2 linked regions of the Alligator mississippiensis genome follow. The protein of the gene in region 1 interacts with the protein of each later gene in a biochemical or structural test. Links are inferred from orthologs where the notes say so. Each region holds a gene or a part of one and is shown in the gene's direction. Other genes may lie near its edges.

Region 1 (7,311 bases):
ATTCACACAGCAAATATGCCAAGGGGTCCCTTGGCTGTGACCAGACTGGGCAAGGCATGTACATTCAGGCCCATATGCCTGAGCTCAGCTGCACACACACATGTATACTTATGCACACCTACCACGTACACACTTATGGCCTCACACCTGTACTTGCACACTCATGCCAGCAGGTCTGCATATGGACACCAGCCAGGCACACAGAACATGCACAATCCTGCAGGTGTGCCAATATGTACACACCCACATATGCACACTCACATATGAGCACCCAAATGTGTGCACCCTCATGCTACTGTTTTGTTACTTCATCCTAGCTGATCTGCATTCCCTACACCCTGGCAATAACTGCCCATCTCTCTCCTGGGGAGAGCTGTGGCAGGGAGCAGGGTCCAGCATTTTGGGCATGGATATTTTGGGCAGGACTCCTGGGTTCCAGTTCCAGCCCCAGCCTTGCCTTCCCCCCACCCCCCCAGCCACTTAGCACTTAACTTATAGCTGCTTACCCCTATCCATGCCTCAGTTTCCCTTCGCTGCAGGATAGGGATGGCATTTGCAGCACACATGGCACAATGCTCCTTACCAGTGCAAAGGGCACTGAGGTTGGGGCTGTCTGCTGAGGGTGCTGTTACTGAGCGCATCTGTGTTCACAGCGATCTCAATTAATTAACAAGGGGTCTGAGTTTCAATGGCAAGGAATCCTCCAAGGATGAGGGAGTAAAAAACCCTGAACAGGAATGGCTGGAGTACAAGGAGGAAGCTGGGGGGTGGGGGCCAGTGGAGGGGCTGGGGGGGAGGATGGGGGTTGAGTAGGGTAGCGGGCCGAGTTCCAGGCAGAGGGAACTCCAGTGAGATCCAGCCCCTGCCTCCTCCTGGGCCCCTCTGCCTGGTTAAAAGGTTCCAGAAGCCTTTTCTTTGCAGGACAAGATAAATCTGTCACTCTCTGGGCTGGGGGAGGGGAAGGGCTGGTGGTGCATGCTGGGTGGGTGAGTGCTGTTGGAGATGCAGGCCAGGGTGGGGGTTGGGGACTCCCCTGCAGGAGCATGGGGCTGGGACAGGCTGGGCTGTGCCATGGTTAGGCCGTGGCTTGCAGTGCTGCGGGGATCGGGCAGGGGTCAGTGCGAGGAGGGCAAGGGAAGGGGACAGAGAGTGCATTGCCCCATCCAAGGCTCCTGTCCTAGCTCTGTCCCAGGGCAACTCTAAGCGGGATGGGTCATGGAGGGGCAGGGCTGGAATAAGCTGGGCAAGGTGCTGGGCAGAGACTCGGACAGAGTACAGGCTTCCTGAAGGCCAGGCCCTCCCAGGCTCAGCTCCATTACAAGGGCAGGGTGTGGAGTTGCTGGACCCCACAGGCACTTTGTTCTGGGCAGAACAGACACTCCCCAGTGCACGGTTCCAGGGTCTTTGAATGCTCGGGGCTTGGGCTCTCTGTTCTAGGATGCAGGGGCAGGCCCCTCCAGCCAGATGCAGTGGTGTCAGCAGGACCAGGTGAGCCACACTGGGTACCCAGAAGGATCCAGCCCTGCTTTGTGCCTCAGTTTCCACTCTCACCCTTTGTCTGTTTAGACTTCTAGCTATTTGGGCCCAGGGCTGTCTCACTCCGTGTCAGAGCAGTATACAGTGTGATGGAGGTCCTGACTTGAGCTGAGGCTTAGTCTGGGCAGTGCCTAGCGCCACCGGGACCATAATCTCAGTAGGTGCCTGCTGGTGCAAGGAGAAGGAAGAAGCTTGGTCTCTGTGGAAGCTTCTAGGTATTACCATAACCTAGACTGTAGCAGAGCCTGCTTCCTTGCAGCTGCTAGCTCCATTGTCTGCCCTGGCTGTCTTGTGGGCAGGGCTGGTAGCAATGCAAGGAATTAAGGGTGCCCCGCACCCGTTTGTCAGCCCCTGTGCATGCGACTGTCCTTCCACCATCATTGAGCACTTGGCTTTGCAGCCGCTGTCCTGTCCTTCCAGCACAGGTTCCTTGCATGCAGTACCATGGATTGCCCATGAGCCTTGGGGTCTCTCTTTGGCCAGTAAAATGCAGCCACCTCTGGTGTGGAATGAGGCTATGCAGTGATATCTTGGGACAGAGTGTGAGGAGCCCAGAAGGCCGCAAAACTGGCTGGGGGAGTCTCAGTGGAGGGAAGGGAGTTGCCAGGGTGGAGATCTGAACTGGGGCCAGGCTCCATCTCCTGTGGAAATGGGCAGGGGCAGAGTGCACTGACCTAGGGAGTCGCTAGGGTAATCTCACCTGTCTGGCGATGACAGTGCCCACAGTGTGTGCCACCTGGACAGTGGGCTCAGCTGTCACCTCCAGCATTTAGCTAAGTGGTCCACTGTGGGCACCAGACCTCAGCCCACAGGGCCCAGCACATTCAGACCCAGGCAGGGGGCTTTCCTCTTCCTTGTCACCCGCTGTCTCCCAGAGAGTGGGTGGTGGGTAGCAGTGGGTGAGGCACCTGGCTTCACACCCCCAGTCCTTCACACCCTGCCAGACCAGGACATTGCTGGAAATGCCCTCCCTCCCCCTGTCCTGCATGTATCAGCCGGGACCTAGGGGCTCCTGGTAGAGACACCAGCCCATCAATCAGGGGCTGAGGCCTCTGCACCGCCCCCTTCTCCATCTTCAGTTGAGTTTCCGGTCCCTTACCGGCAATTAATAGACAAGAACAACAGTGCGCCTTGCGCCCAGACAAGTGAGAACGCAGCTGTCCTAGTGCCATGGGGGCTAGCCTGGGGCGGGTGGGAAGCAGGTACAGGGTGGGGGTGGTAGGGTGCCACGCAAGGCACCAGTATCTCCTAGCTACTGGAGGAAGGAGGCTACCCTCTCCTGCCTCTTGGTGCCTTAACCCTGCGCCCAGCTTCTCAGAGGGGGAGAGGTAGCCAGCACTGAAACACAGAGATTTGTTTTTTTTTCTTTACTTCTTCCCCTTTCGCAGTCAAGCAGAGTTAACCCCTTACAAAGCACCATCTGCCTGATTCACAGTCTCGTTTGGCTTGGGGCCTGCCGTGGGCAGACACTGGATCCTGCCCCAAGCTCCACATGGCAAATGTGGGGGTGTGGGACCAGTCTGTACCGCGCGTCTCAGTTGGCTCCGTGCCCGCCATGGGTACTAGCCAGGATGACTGGGAACTCCCAGTGACTTCCAGAGGGCAACCAGGCCTCAATGTCTCAGATGCATTGCTCTGGTTTGAGCTCAGCCTGTCGGCTGGGGGCCGGGCTTTGAGTATCTCTGCTGCAGAGGGGCCTCTACGGTGGGACATTTCCTCCTCCAGCTGGTACTGGGCTTGGATTCTGTGTCTGCAGCCTGAAGTTGGCTGGTACCAGGAGCAGGGCACCAGAACCCACCTCCTGCGTGGGAGCAGAGCATAACCCAGCGAAGAGCAGATAAGGGGCAGGGAGCGCATGTGCGTGCAAGGCCAGGGGAGAGGATTTCCTTTGATAAGGAGAGCCATGTCACAGAGGGCACAGGCACAGGCAGATGCCCCCAGGCCTCCAGCGTGCAGGGGAGTGGGCCCCGTGGGGCTGGGCGTGGAGCACCGGCGCCGTGGCCTGACCTGGGAGCCAAGGCTGCGTCTGGCAGAGCGCTGGAAGGAGCACGGGATGGGATGGGACTTCCTGGGTCACGGAGTCCAGAGCGCTGCTAACACGGGCGCCACGTCACAGGGTCCCCGCAGGGCCGGGAAGGAGGCTGTTACCCAAGATGCCCCGATGGGGACTGGCTGACTCCTGGGCACCGGGGCTAGGAAAGCAGGGCCCAGCTGCTCCCACACCAGGGTCTTGTCTCCTGCGCCCGGTGGCTGAGGGGCCCGGTGGCTGAGGGGCCCGATGCCGTTTAGGGGCATCCTCCCTGCAGCCTCCTGGGGCCCTTTGACAGGTAGGGAAACTGAGGCAGGGTGCGAGGTGACTTCAGGTGTAGGGGCCCAGCTGGGGTGTGAACCCAAGCGTCCACACTCCCAGCCCGAGCCACCAGACGTCCCTCCCTCCCTCCCCAACTCCCCCCTCACCGCCCCCACTCAAAAAAAAAAAAAAAAAAAAAATGAGCTGCCGCTTTAAGAAGCCCCTCCCCTCCCCTCCCCTCGGGAGGTCTAGACACTTCAAAGGGTTAGTCGGCAGCGACCGGGCCCGCCCCCCGCTCTCCATTGGTTGGCTGCGGGCAGGGGGCGTGTCCCCGCGCGGCCCGTTCCCCCCCGCCCAGTGTAAAGTTTCAGCCGAAGCACATGACGGGCAATGGCTGCTGTCGCCCCGCGCTGAGCGCGCGCCCCGCCAGCGCCGCGTCCCATTGCCCCGCGCCGTTGCCGCCGCCGCCGCCGCCGGAGCGAGGCCCGGGGCTGGGCTGGGCACGATGCGGCCGCGGGTTGCACGCCACGCGGGTGCCTGAGTCGCGCAGGGCCGGGGAGGCGCCCGCTCCTTTCTCTGCAAGGTAACTCCCGGCTCCGCCCGCCTTCTTCGCAAACTTTCCCCTGGGTGCGCTGGGGGGGGGGCGCTTCCTGCGGGGTGAGGCTGGGGAGAGGGAGTCTCTCTCCTTTCCCCCCCAGACTCCACATCCTAGCGCACATTGCAGACCCCCCCACTTGCACCCTGCCAGTTTGTTTGGATTTGCTGCAAATGCAGCCCAGGTTCCTCTCCCCAAGTGACAGGGCCCGCTGCTCCGGTCACTCAGGCGTTGTGACCATAGATGGGGGGGCTGGGGGGCAGGCGGGGGGAGGCACGCTGCTATTGTGCTGCTTGGGGGAGGGGGGAGTGAGCATGGCTGGGGTGGTTTTCCGCGGGGGAGCATGCGTGGCTTGATCCCCTTGTCCTGCGCCCCCCTCCCCCAAGCCCCAAGTGTTCGCACCCAACTGTTGCAGCAGGTTGTGGCTACGCATTCCCAGCTGTCACCCCCTCCCCATGCTCCCCTTCCTGGCTGCATCCTGGCGGGGTGGGGGGTGCTGGTGTGGTTAATAGCCTCCAGGGGCTTCTCAGTGGTAGTGTTTGGTTCACCCCCACCCCACCCCGCCCTTCATCCACTGCCTCCTCTGGTCTCCCCTCCTCTGGCTCCTCTGGAATTTGGGGTGAGGGTAAGTATAAGTAGCCCTTTTTCCGGGAAATCCCAGGCTTTCCATCAAGCCCTTAATTTCCATGCAAACACCTTGCAATGCATTGGAGTGCCTTGGTTGAGTGCTTCTCCAGCTGGCTCTCCTTTCCCAGCTAAGCACTTTTTGCAGAGAACTTTTTTGCTCCTTTATTCCCCCCCCCTCCCCCCTTTAAGGCCCCGTCCAGCCGTGAGCCATTGCTGCGCCTCAGCACGCTTCCCCTTTTGCTGGTGTTACGTGAGGTTAAGCGGTGGGGAGCTCCTGCTGCTCTGCCTTGGCCAGAGCGACGGCTGTGGGTGTGGCGATACGGGGCCTCTGTGCTTTTGAAGGTTTCGAAGTGCCGCTTTTGTTGGTGTGTCACTTTCCCCGGCTTGGCATGATCTTTAAATGGCCTGACACTGCTTTCCAGAGGTGCCTGCGCAATGACTCGGGGAACCCTGTCACCCTCTGTGGTTGTGCTGGTTGGGGAGGTGTGGACAGATAGGCAGGGTGCAGGGCAAGGAGGGTTTGCCTCTTTAGGATGAAGTTTTGGAGAAGGAAGAGCTGTTGGCCTGATAAGCAGAGGAAACCCCATAACAGCACTTCTGAAATGAATCCAGCAGGGTTCACACGGCCGTGAGCAGGGGAGCAGTTCTATGTGGTTACAGTTAATCGGATCTGTCTGAGGCTGGGCCTGTGCAGCAGCTGACAGTGTTGGGGATCTGAAGCAGGAGCCATGGGGATTTTCTGCTGGACCCGTGGCTGGAGGCACCGGGGTCCTCTTGCTGGCAGCATTACTGTTTGGCTGGGTTCTGATCTTGTCCTGCATTGGGGTTGACAAGTGCTGTGCAGGCCAGGCAGCTGAACGGTCCCTGTCCCAAAGAGCAGTCACATGGTGCGGAGTAGACTTTGGGCTGGTCTGGGGAGAGCTGCCTTCCCTGCTGCATGCCCCCTGGGTGCCAGGCACGAGAGCATGGGTCTGTGCTCTGTTTATCTGCAGAGTTATTTAAGGGGTTGGATTGGGCTGCATCCCAGGAGAAGGGTTGTGGGGAATCGGGTCTGTGTCGCTTCCTGGCACAGCTCAGTGCTAACCTGCCGCTGGAGGAGGTAATTCTCCCAGGAGGAAGTAATCTTTCTCTGCAGCTGACAATCCACTGGCGCAGCTACAAACAGTGCAGGGGAAAGAGGAAAGGGGGGGGGTGTCCTTCTGCCCCACCCCCTCCACTTGCTGCCTCCCCCAAGCTCCCACGTGGGGTTGATCCTTCCCTTAGTGCAGGATGACACTTGTGTGACTGCAGCCCTTGTGTACAGGGAGCCTGGCCAGGTGCTCCAGCCTGCATTTGAGAGTTGGAGGGGCCTTGGATGTGATCTGGGCCCTGGGCTCTGCCCCTGCTGCTTGCCAGCTAAAGTGAGTAGGTTGATTGCCAGAGGGAGCCTTGCTGAGACCAGGGAGCTGACTTGAGCAGTGCCCAGCGATTCTGCCTGGGTCCTCAGGTCTCGCAACAGCTTCTCCTCCCCTCAGTTTCTGACCTGCTAAGCAGAGCCTGGTAACTGTGCCACAGGTCAGGGCTGAAGAAAATGAGTTCAGGGCTAGAGCAACTGCTGCAGGGAAGGCACACTCCCTGCAGAAAGCTGTGGCTGAGGTCCTTGTCTTGCCTGAAACAGGTGGGCATGGGGGGCATTCGGCCTCCTGGGTCATGGAACTGGGTTGCCCTGAGCAGGCCTCCCCGACAGCATAATTCATTGTTCTTTTAGCACCAGGACTGTTTCCGGCAGCTCGATGCTGGCACTAGCAATGCCCCTGAGGTCCTGATGGGGAAATTGGAGCACAGAGAGAGCAGGGCATTTTGGAAGGCTACACTGCGTTGGCTTGGTGCTCTGTTGCTCAGTTGACAGCTCATGCAGCACAGTGGGCTACTTATAGGGGGTAATCCTACAGCCCAGATCTTGATGTTGATGGCAGGTACCAGGGGACAGGTGCCTGTGGGCTGTGCAGGGCTGCAGGGGGTGTAGATTGGAGGAGTGACATACAATCAGCACAGCTGGCTGTTTCTGCCAAGCTGCTCAGCAGTGGAAGAGTTAATGTGATTGTTGGCATTGGAATTATCATTAAGTTTCCAAGTGGGCTCCCCCACTCTGTCCAGGGATGCTGGGAAGCTAGGCTCTCTGCAGACTCAGGCAGGTATCTCCGCCTCAGGGCTATATCTCAGGGTGCACCTTGCAGCAGCTGGAGCTGGGAACACATTGTGTTGCTGTGGGGGAAGCGGGGAT
Region 2 (7,677 bases), on another chromosome or scaffold:
TTTCATGAACTGGATGCAGACACGAGCCAGGCACATTAAGGAAGGCTTTGTCAGCCTGAACTTTCCCCACGTGCTAGAGAATGTGTGTTCAGTCCATTCTGTAAATCCCCCTGCCAAAATTTCTAGGAGAGGCAGCTGAAAGATGAATGATATCATTGAGGAATAAATTCATATATAATCTTCTCTCCAAGCAATCTCAAGTCTCTTGTATCGCAAGGGCTCAGGTACAGCTGTGAAAGGCAGAACATCAAAGTCTACGATGTAAAGGGCTGTAGCGTTCAGAGGCAGAGCTAAGTAAACAGGCAAGAGGCCAACCTGGAGCAATAACCCAGCTATTGATAATACCACAGGTACCGTGCAAGACAGCACGTAGTGAAACTCAGCCTTCCTACAGGCATCAAGGTAATGCTTCCACAGGAAGGATACTATCCAGGGTCAGGAGCCAGATGGGAGGGAAAAGAAGATCTCTTATGCCAAGGAGTAAGATATTAATTCAAAGAAGTTCCAAGGACATGATCAGCCCCTTTCAGGATGAACTATCCCAGAGCAGCTTACAGAAATCAAACCCCCAGCTAGTTACAGCACTGACTGCAGACTGCAACGATGAAGAAGAGATTATGAAGCCTTTGCCTACAAACATGGGAGAACAAGCAAGTCTCCAAAGAGCCATAAAAATACCAGGCAGGTCCATCATGTTGGGAGGAGAATGGAAGGGGATAGGAGTCCTTCCACAATCTTTCCCCAGTCTCAAAAGGTGGTTCAGCCTGGTGGTTTCCCTCCTGCTAGATTCAATTAAATGTTTCAGGCCCAAGGGGCTGTGTTAAGAGTTCCAAAGGGGAAGGGGGAAGTGGGAGAGAATAAATGGCCTCTTCAAGCTCTAGCTGGGGGACTGTGTTGACAGAGACACAATCAGCACGGGCTTGTATTCAGTGTCCTTCGTTCAGAGGCTTGCAAAGCACTTTACAAAAACCAGTATTCTAGTCCAGTTCCAGAGGGGGCACTGGGGCAGGGAGCCATCCCCTCCTATGTAGCGCACAGCCGAAGCCAGGCATCCTGACAGTCAGTCCCTGCCTCTAGCCAATGCCTCAAAGCTCCTCTTGCTTATGCTCTGGAGTGCCAATCGGCAGAAGCTCTATAAATACAGTGCTAATCATCGTCACACATTGATTCTACACATATATGCCTGTCCCTGTGAGATGGGGAAGATTTGTTCCTAAAAAAACTCTTGCAGCTCTTTTGCAGATTTCACTCATTTTCACCCTAGCTCTGTGTTGGGGTTTCCCCATCTCCCTCCCCTTGCAGGTTAGGCAGCAGGTATATTCTATGCAGCACTGGCAATTGTAAGCTTTCCCTCTATATATGACATGGCAATGTTTCCTGAGCTATGTTCTGAAGCCACCCACTGGTGGGGTTGTAAAGCATCAAGTGTGTATCACACGCTGCTGGCTTTTCCTTATTTTGACCACCTCCGGTGCCCCCAACACATTTGGATTGTATCAGCCCTGCACTCAGAGGCACAGGGGCAGCTGCATGGGCAGGGAGACGGACTTTGTGCTTTTCTGAGATGAATAAACAAGGTAACTTAGGGTTATTGATCCCGCGGTGTCTGTCAACGTTAAGTCAGTGTGTCTGGCAGGCTTGCTTTTCAAACAACCCTTTGGCCACAGCGTGACAAAAACCTTCACCATTGATATTATTCGACAAGCAAACAAGCTCAGCCATGGACAAGGGCAGCTCACTCCTACCTTGTTTCACTGGTATATTTCTGCAGCATCGCAAACATTGGGCACAGTTTGAAGATACCACACGGCAACAGGAAGAAAGCACTTTGTGGCACACAGGTCAGATGTCTGCCAGAGGCAGGAAGCATCTCGACGTGAACAGCTGGGCCCGAGCACATAAAAATGACACATAAGGGTCTGTGAGGGGGAAGGATTAGTTGTTTTTTTACCTTCTCTGCCACTCCGTCTTCTCCACCTGTGAAGAAATCCGTTTTCCGTCTCAGGAAACTGAAGAACGTGTTCACAAGCTGGAAAAAGAAAAACACAAGAAGACAGGTAACGTCAAGAGACCTGAATTAAAGAGTCTGAGCTGCAAGAGAGCCTACAAGGAAAGGGAGCAAATCTAGATCTTAGCAGTATTGCGATGAGCAAGTCTTCACTCAGCAGGTAGCCGAGAAGACAACTTCTCGCTTCCTTGTTCTTACTTCCAAGCAGCTGATCTAGCAGAATCTTTACATGGTCGCTCCAACGATTTGGTGAAGCATTTTTGGCCTTTTCCTCTAATTAGGTTTTCACAGGGAGCCCACGGACAGAGAGAAGTAGCAGCTCGAACTGAAGAACGGCATTGCATGCTGGTCCAGATACATGGGACATGAAGACAAAGAACCACTTTTATCAGTTGGCTCTGACGGACTAGATTAGAGGAGACAGCAGAGCACGTGGTGCTCACCAAGATGGTCTCTGCCCACACCTCAGCTGGAAGCAGCGCAATGCTGGTATAAATAGTGTTGCTATTCGTTTCCATAGCCAGTGTGGGCAGACTCATTCCCAAGAACCACAATGACTTAGCCTTCCTATACCTTATCCTCCTAGGTTGCTTGAAGCGCTGTGCACCAGTTGCCACAGCAACTGTTTGATTGGGAGGATCAGCAGCAAAGAAACCCCTTCTATAGGGGCCAGAGACATCGCATTTGTGTTTCAACAGTTTCCTTCCACCATGGCTACAGCCAGAGCATGGCCAGGCTCAGGGACCCGAGTGGCAAACGAGCCACCCGCCACACCGCTACTCACCAGCGAGCTTTTCATCCCTCAGCCTGGACGCTGCCTAAACTGCAGCACGAGGCGAGACCCTCGCCTTTCTTGGATAGCTGTTCAGCCCCCGCACGCCAATGGCGCCATGCTAATAATTAACGTGACAACCCGTTTAAGTGCGAATGCTTTCCCAGCGCAACCGCCGATGCCTCCTTTAAGCGCGGGGAGTTAAACGGAGGAAAACATTTGCAACATTAAGGAATGCACGGACTGCTGGCAAACACCGGGAGGGCCGCAGGCATGGCGCTGTCACGAATGTTCGGTGCTCCTAAAACGACCCCGGAAGACGGGGCCCGAGCTGCTTAAGGCCTCTGGATCTTTATGAAGTGCGGTCTCTTCGTGGACAAATCCCACGGCACTTCGCAAAGGTTGATGCCTTTGTTCCCATTTCACAGACGGGAACGTTTGGGCACCCTTCTTATGTACTTCAGGGGCTTTACTCCAGGGCATCCCAACTTTTTTAGGCTGCGGACCGGCAAGCCACGGACCGGAAGTGACCGGTGTACTGGGGAGCGACAGCCGACCCTTTTTTAGGCTCAATCTAAAAAGAGGATTGGCTGCCGCTCCACGGTACGCCGGTCGCTTCCGGACCTCCAGCGCGGCAGCCGACCCGCCGCGACCTAGCGGTCGGGAGCCTCTGCTTTACTCGCTCCGCCGGAGTCGGTGCTTCGTGCTTCTGAGAGCCCGTGAAAACGACGTGTTTGGCGGCGGCGGCGGGGCTGAGACTGCGTCACTCGACGCCTGTAGAAGCAGCTGGCAAAACCAGCAAGTCCCCTCGAGACACGCCGGCGCTCGTCCCACGACGGGCGCGAAGCCGGACTGTCCGCACACGCGCAAGGAGCGGGGGGCTCCCGCTGCAGCAAGGGGAGTCGAGGTTAAGTACGGGCGGAAAGGGGCATCAGGCGCCGAGGCGAGGGGCACGGCCTAGAGGCTGCAGGAGGAAGAGGAAGACCCCCGCCCCCCGGCCGCCCGGCGCTACCTCCCGCACGCCGCCCGGGTGCTGCTGCGCCATGGCCAGGAGCATGCCATCGAAGCGGTCCTCCTGCTCCGCTACCTCCTCCGCGCTCAGCCCCATGGCGACCCGCAACCGCTGCCCGCGACCCCTCGCCCGGAAGCGGAAACGGGCTCCCCCACCAATCAACGCGCCGCATTCCTCCCGCGACCCCTCGTTGATTGGCCGCCGCCGCGCCCAATCCGCAGACGGGGGGGGGAGGAGGGCGGGCGCTTAGCGCGGCACAGGCGCGCGGCGCTGGTTGCTATAGAGACCGGCGCCGTCTCGCGCCTTCCAGAAGGCTCCGCGTGGCCCGTTGGGCGTCGGAGGGCAGGGGTCGCGGCTGGGTTAGGCCTTTAAAGGGATGGTTGAAAGGATTCGTGGGGGAAGGGGGTGACACGAGTGATGGGGTCACAGCCTTGCCTGGAGGTCAGGGGTCACAGAGGGAGAGGTCACCCCTAGCAGCGCAGGGTTGTGGGGAGGGGAAGGACCCCCCCCACCTTCTCCCACACAATTCCTCCCTTGCTCTCCCGCCTGGGCGGCTCCGCAGCGCAAGAAGACGGCGCGGGATAGATCCGGCGGGGTGCGGCGCATTGCGACGCGAACGCCACGGCCCAGAGCAGCTGAAAGCAGTGGGCCGGCAGAAGAGAAGGCTGAAGCGGGATTCGATGGCGGCTTCAACTACCTGAAAGGCGACGCACGGAGAGGATGGAGACGGGCTGCAGGCAGCGGGGCTGGGAGCCACGGACTCAGTCCCGTGTCCCCCCCGTGTTCCATAGATTCATAGATTGCAGAGTCGGAAGGGACCACAGTGGATCATCACGTCCGACCCCTGCCCCTGGCAGGAAAGAGGGCCGAGGGCAGACGACCCTAGCCAGGTGACTATATCCTCCTCGTGAAGATCTCCAAGCTAGGTGATAGCACCACCTCTCTTGGGATCCCGTTCCAGATCCTGGCCACCCTGACTGTGAAAAATGTCTTCCTAATATCTAACCTAAATCCACTCTCAACTAGTTTACACCCCTTATTCCTAGTCACTCCCTGGGGCGCCCTAGTAAACAGCGCTTCCCCTATCCCCTGTTGACCTCTCCTAATAAATTTATAGGCGGCCACAAGGTCTCCCCTCAGCTGTCCCTTGTGAAGGCTGAAGAGATTCAGCTCTCTCGACCTCCCCCGTAGGGTCTTTCCCGAAGGCCACGAATCATGCGAGTGGCCTCCTCTCGATCTCTCCAGATTCCCCGCGTCCCTCCTGAAGTGCGGCGCCCAAAACTGGACACAGCACTGCAACTGCTGCCTGACCAGTGCCACGTAGAGGGGGAGCGTCACCTCCTTTGATCTGTCAGTCATGCACCTGCTAATGCACGACAAGGTGCGACTGGCCTTGTGGATGGCCTCGTTACACTGCCGGCTCACGTTCATCTTGGAGTCGATTACGACTCCAAGATCCCTCTCTGCCTCCGAGCTGCTGAGAAGGACACTCCCCAACCTACAGGTGTGCTGGGGGTTCCTCCTTCCCAGGTGGAGCACCTTACATTTATTTTTATTAAATTGCATCCTATTTCTCTCTGCCCATTGCTCCAACCTGTCCAGGTCAGCCTGAATCTGCTCCCTCCCCTCCGGTGTACTAACTTTGCCCCATAACTTGGTATCATCAGCAAACTTGGAGAGGGTGCTCTCCACGCCCTCATCCAAATCGCTGATGAAGATATTAAATAATACCGGTCTGAGGACCGAACCCTGCGGGACCCCACTGCCCACCTCCCTCCAGGCCGAGAAGGAACCATCCACCACCAAGAGAAGGGAAGGGAGAGGCTCTCTCGAGATGTTGGTTTAATGAAATCTGATTCTCAAACCCCCCCGTGTTTTTCTGACACCAGGTACCCCAGGTCCCAGCCTTGATCCGAGAACCAGATGCCCTCAGTCCGTTGGGTTTCTTTTCGTTATCTGTAACGACAGCAGCCTGCTGTCAACAAGGTTAGACAAACAACCTGCTGATAACATGACTTCCAGGTTGCTCTTTCCAAGGCCAGAGCCTACAGGTTGTTTGCCACCGGGCTCCTGCTCCAGACAAGTGCTGTGTGTGCATGTGCGCGCTCCTTGGCAATGACACCTGTCATACAGTACTGCCTGATTACGCATCGGGGCCTTGGTACCATGGTACAGGCTGGGTTATCGACATTGTTTATCCTGTTTGGACAACCGAGATAAGCCAGCTGCCCAGCCTGCCATTCTGTCCCGTCCTCCTGGCCCTGGCTGGCACTTTCATTGAGAAAACACTTCTTGACGCCACATGAAGAACTCGCTTCCCCAGCCAATCAGGCGAGAGTCAACTTGTTTTTTAATGAATGCTGCTTTGTCAAAGAGAGGTCAAGGGTGGAAGGGGGTGTTCCACTCACCGCCAGCGCCTTATAAATACCACTGAGCGTAGCAGCCAGAGGGTTGAGGCAGCTGAGCTCAGTGGAAGAGGCTGCAGTCGGAGAGCTTTGACGGGCACAGGAGTTCGCGGTTGTGCTCACAGACTCAGCCTGTCAAGTGCACCCAGATCACCTCCTCCTTCAGAGTCAGTGGGATCTGCTTGGTGGGCAGAGCTCTGAGTGCAGGCAGCATGGACGTGGACTATGAGAGATGCCAGTGCCACAGCGAAGAGAACCGGAACGCCATCCTCTATACCCTCCTGAGCCAAAACCTGAACCACAATCATAGCCCATCCCAGCAGCGCTGCCGGTGCCAGAAGCGTCGCACCGTCTGCCTCCAGACACCCCAGGTCACCTGCCAGGCGGCCTCTGATGTCCTGGTGAAAACAGTCAGCTTCATGAAGAACCTGCCCTCCTTCCAGCTGCTGCCCCGGGAGGACCAGCTCCTCCTGCTGGACAGTTGCTGGGCTCCTCTCTTCATTCTGGGGTTGGTTCAAGAGATGGTGACATTCGACGTGATGGAGACCCCGGCCCCCAGCATGCTCAAGAACATTCTCCTCAATGGCCAGAGCAAGAGGCAGGAGCTTGAGAGGACACAACCCACCCTAGCCGGGGTGCAGCGGCTGCAGTGCTGCCTGAACACGTTCTGGAGCCTGGACCTGAGCCCTAAGGAGTATGCCTACCTGAAAGGAGCCATTCTTTTCAACCCTGGTGAGTGCTCTCAGCAGGGCAGAGGGTACTACACAGAGAATCTGGTCTGGGCTGCTTGAAAGCACGCGTGTACGTGTGTGTGTGTGTGTGCGCGCACGCACGCACATACACACGTGAGCAATGGGGAGGATTATCTTAATGTCATTAATCCATAATGTTAACATTTCACACTTTTCATTCCAGTAGCTCAAAAGTAGGAAGAGTAGCCCCATTTTACAGACAGGTAGACCGAGGCCCAGACTGTTGTAGAGGCTAATTTCAGAGGTGCTAAGCATCCTTAATTCCCACTGACTTCTGGAAATCAGTCCCTTGCCATATGCTTTGGGGAAATATTTTGAATAAGACCGTAGACAGTAAAGATCCCAGGGCACAATTTGGAAAGCTGGAGTTGTCCCTGGTTTCACCGGTCAGTATTTCTCTTCCATGGTTATGCTGCACGGTAGTAAAGAGCTCCTTCCACCCCAGAAGTGGCTGCATCTCAGTGGTGCTGCCTTGCATGGTTTATGAAGTACTTTAGGGTCTCTGTGCTATAGATGGTTAAGGTGTGTGTGTTTCTGTCTGTTCACATGCGTGTGCTCAGTAGAAAGAAATTAAGCTTGATTGCAGCAGCAGGAATATGCCAAAATATTCCAGAGAGGAAGTCAAGTGCCAGTGAGTGGGATTGAGATTGGTGCTTAGGCTGGGAAGCAGAGCCCGTAATTCACATTTCAATTGTTCCTCCTTTCTCTCTCCCTAGACGTCCCAGGTT

Evidence for each region. The genes of interacting proteins can lie anywhere in the genome.
Region 2: the proteins of RARA (region 1) and NR0B2 form a complex in vitro, tested with the Homo sapiens proteins (2 studies listed by BioGRID). The link is inferred for Alligator mississippiensis from reciprocal best matches to the Homo sapiens genes RARA and NR0B2.

What each region holds. Positions count from the first base shown.
Region 1 is NC_081827.1:164,453,448-164,460,758, reverse strand, and holds the start of RARA (retinoic acid receptor alpha), read left to right. Parts: upstream 1-4,220; 5' UTR 4,221-4,409; intron 4,410-7,311. UniProt on the Homo sapiens protein: Receptor for retinoic acid. Retinoic acid receptors bind as heterodimers to their target response elements in response to their ligands, all-trans or 9-cis retinoic acid, and regulate gene expression in various biological processes.
Region 2 is NC_081829.1:2,773,931-2,781,607, forward strand, and holds the start of NR0B2 (nuclear receptor subfamily 0 group B member 2), read left to right. Parts: upstream 1-4,594; 5' UTR 4,595-4,682; intron 4,683-4,688; exon of another isoform or gene 4,689-5,681; 5' UTR 5,682-6,409; coding exon 6,410-6,929; intron 6,930-7,665; coding exon 7,666-7,677. Other genes in the region: nuclear migration protein nudC, read right to left, coding at 1,952-2,029, 3,793-3,888. UniProt on the Homo sapiens protein: Transcriptional regulator that acts as a negative regulator of receptor-dependent signaling pathways. Specifically inhibits transactivation of the nuclear receptor with which it interacts.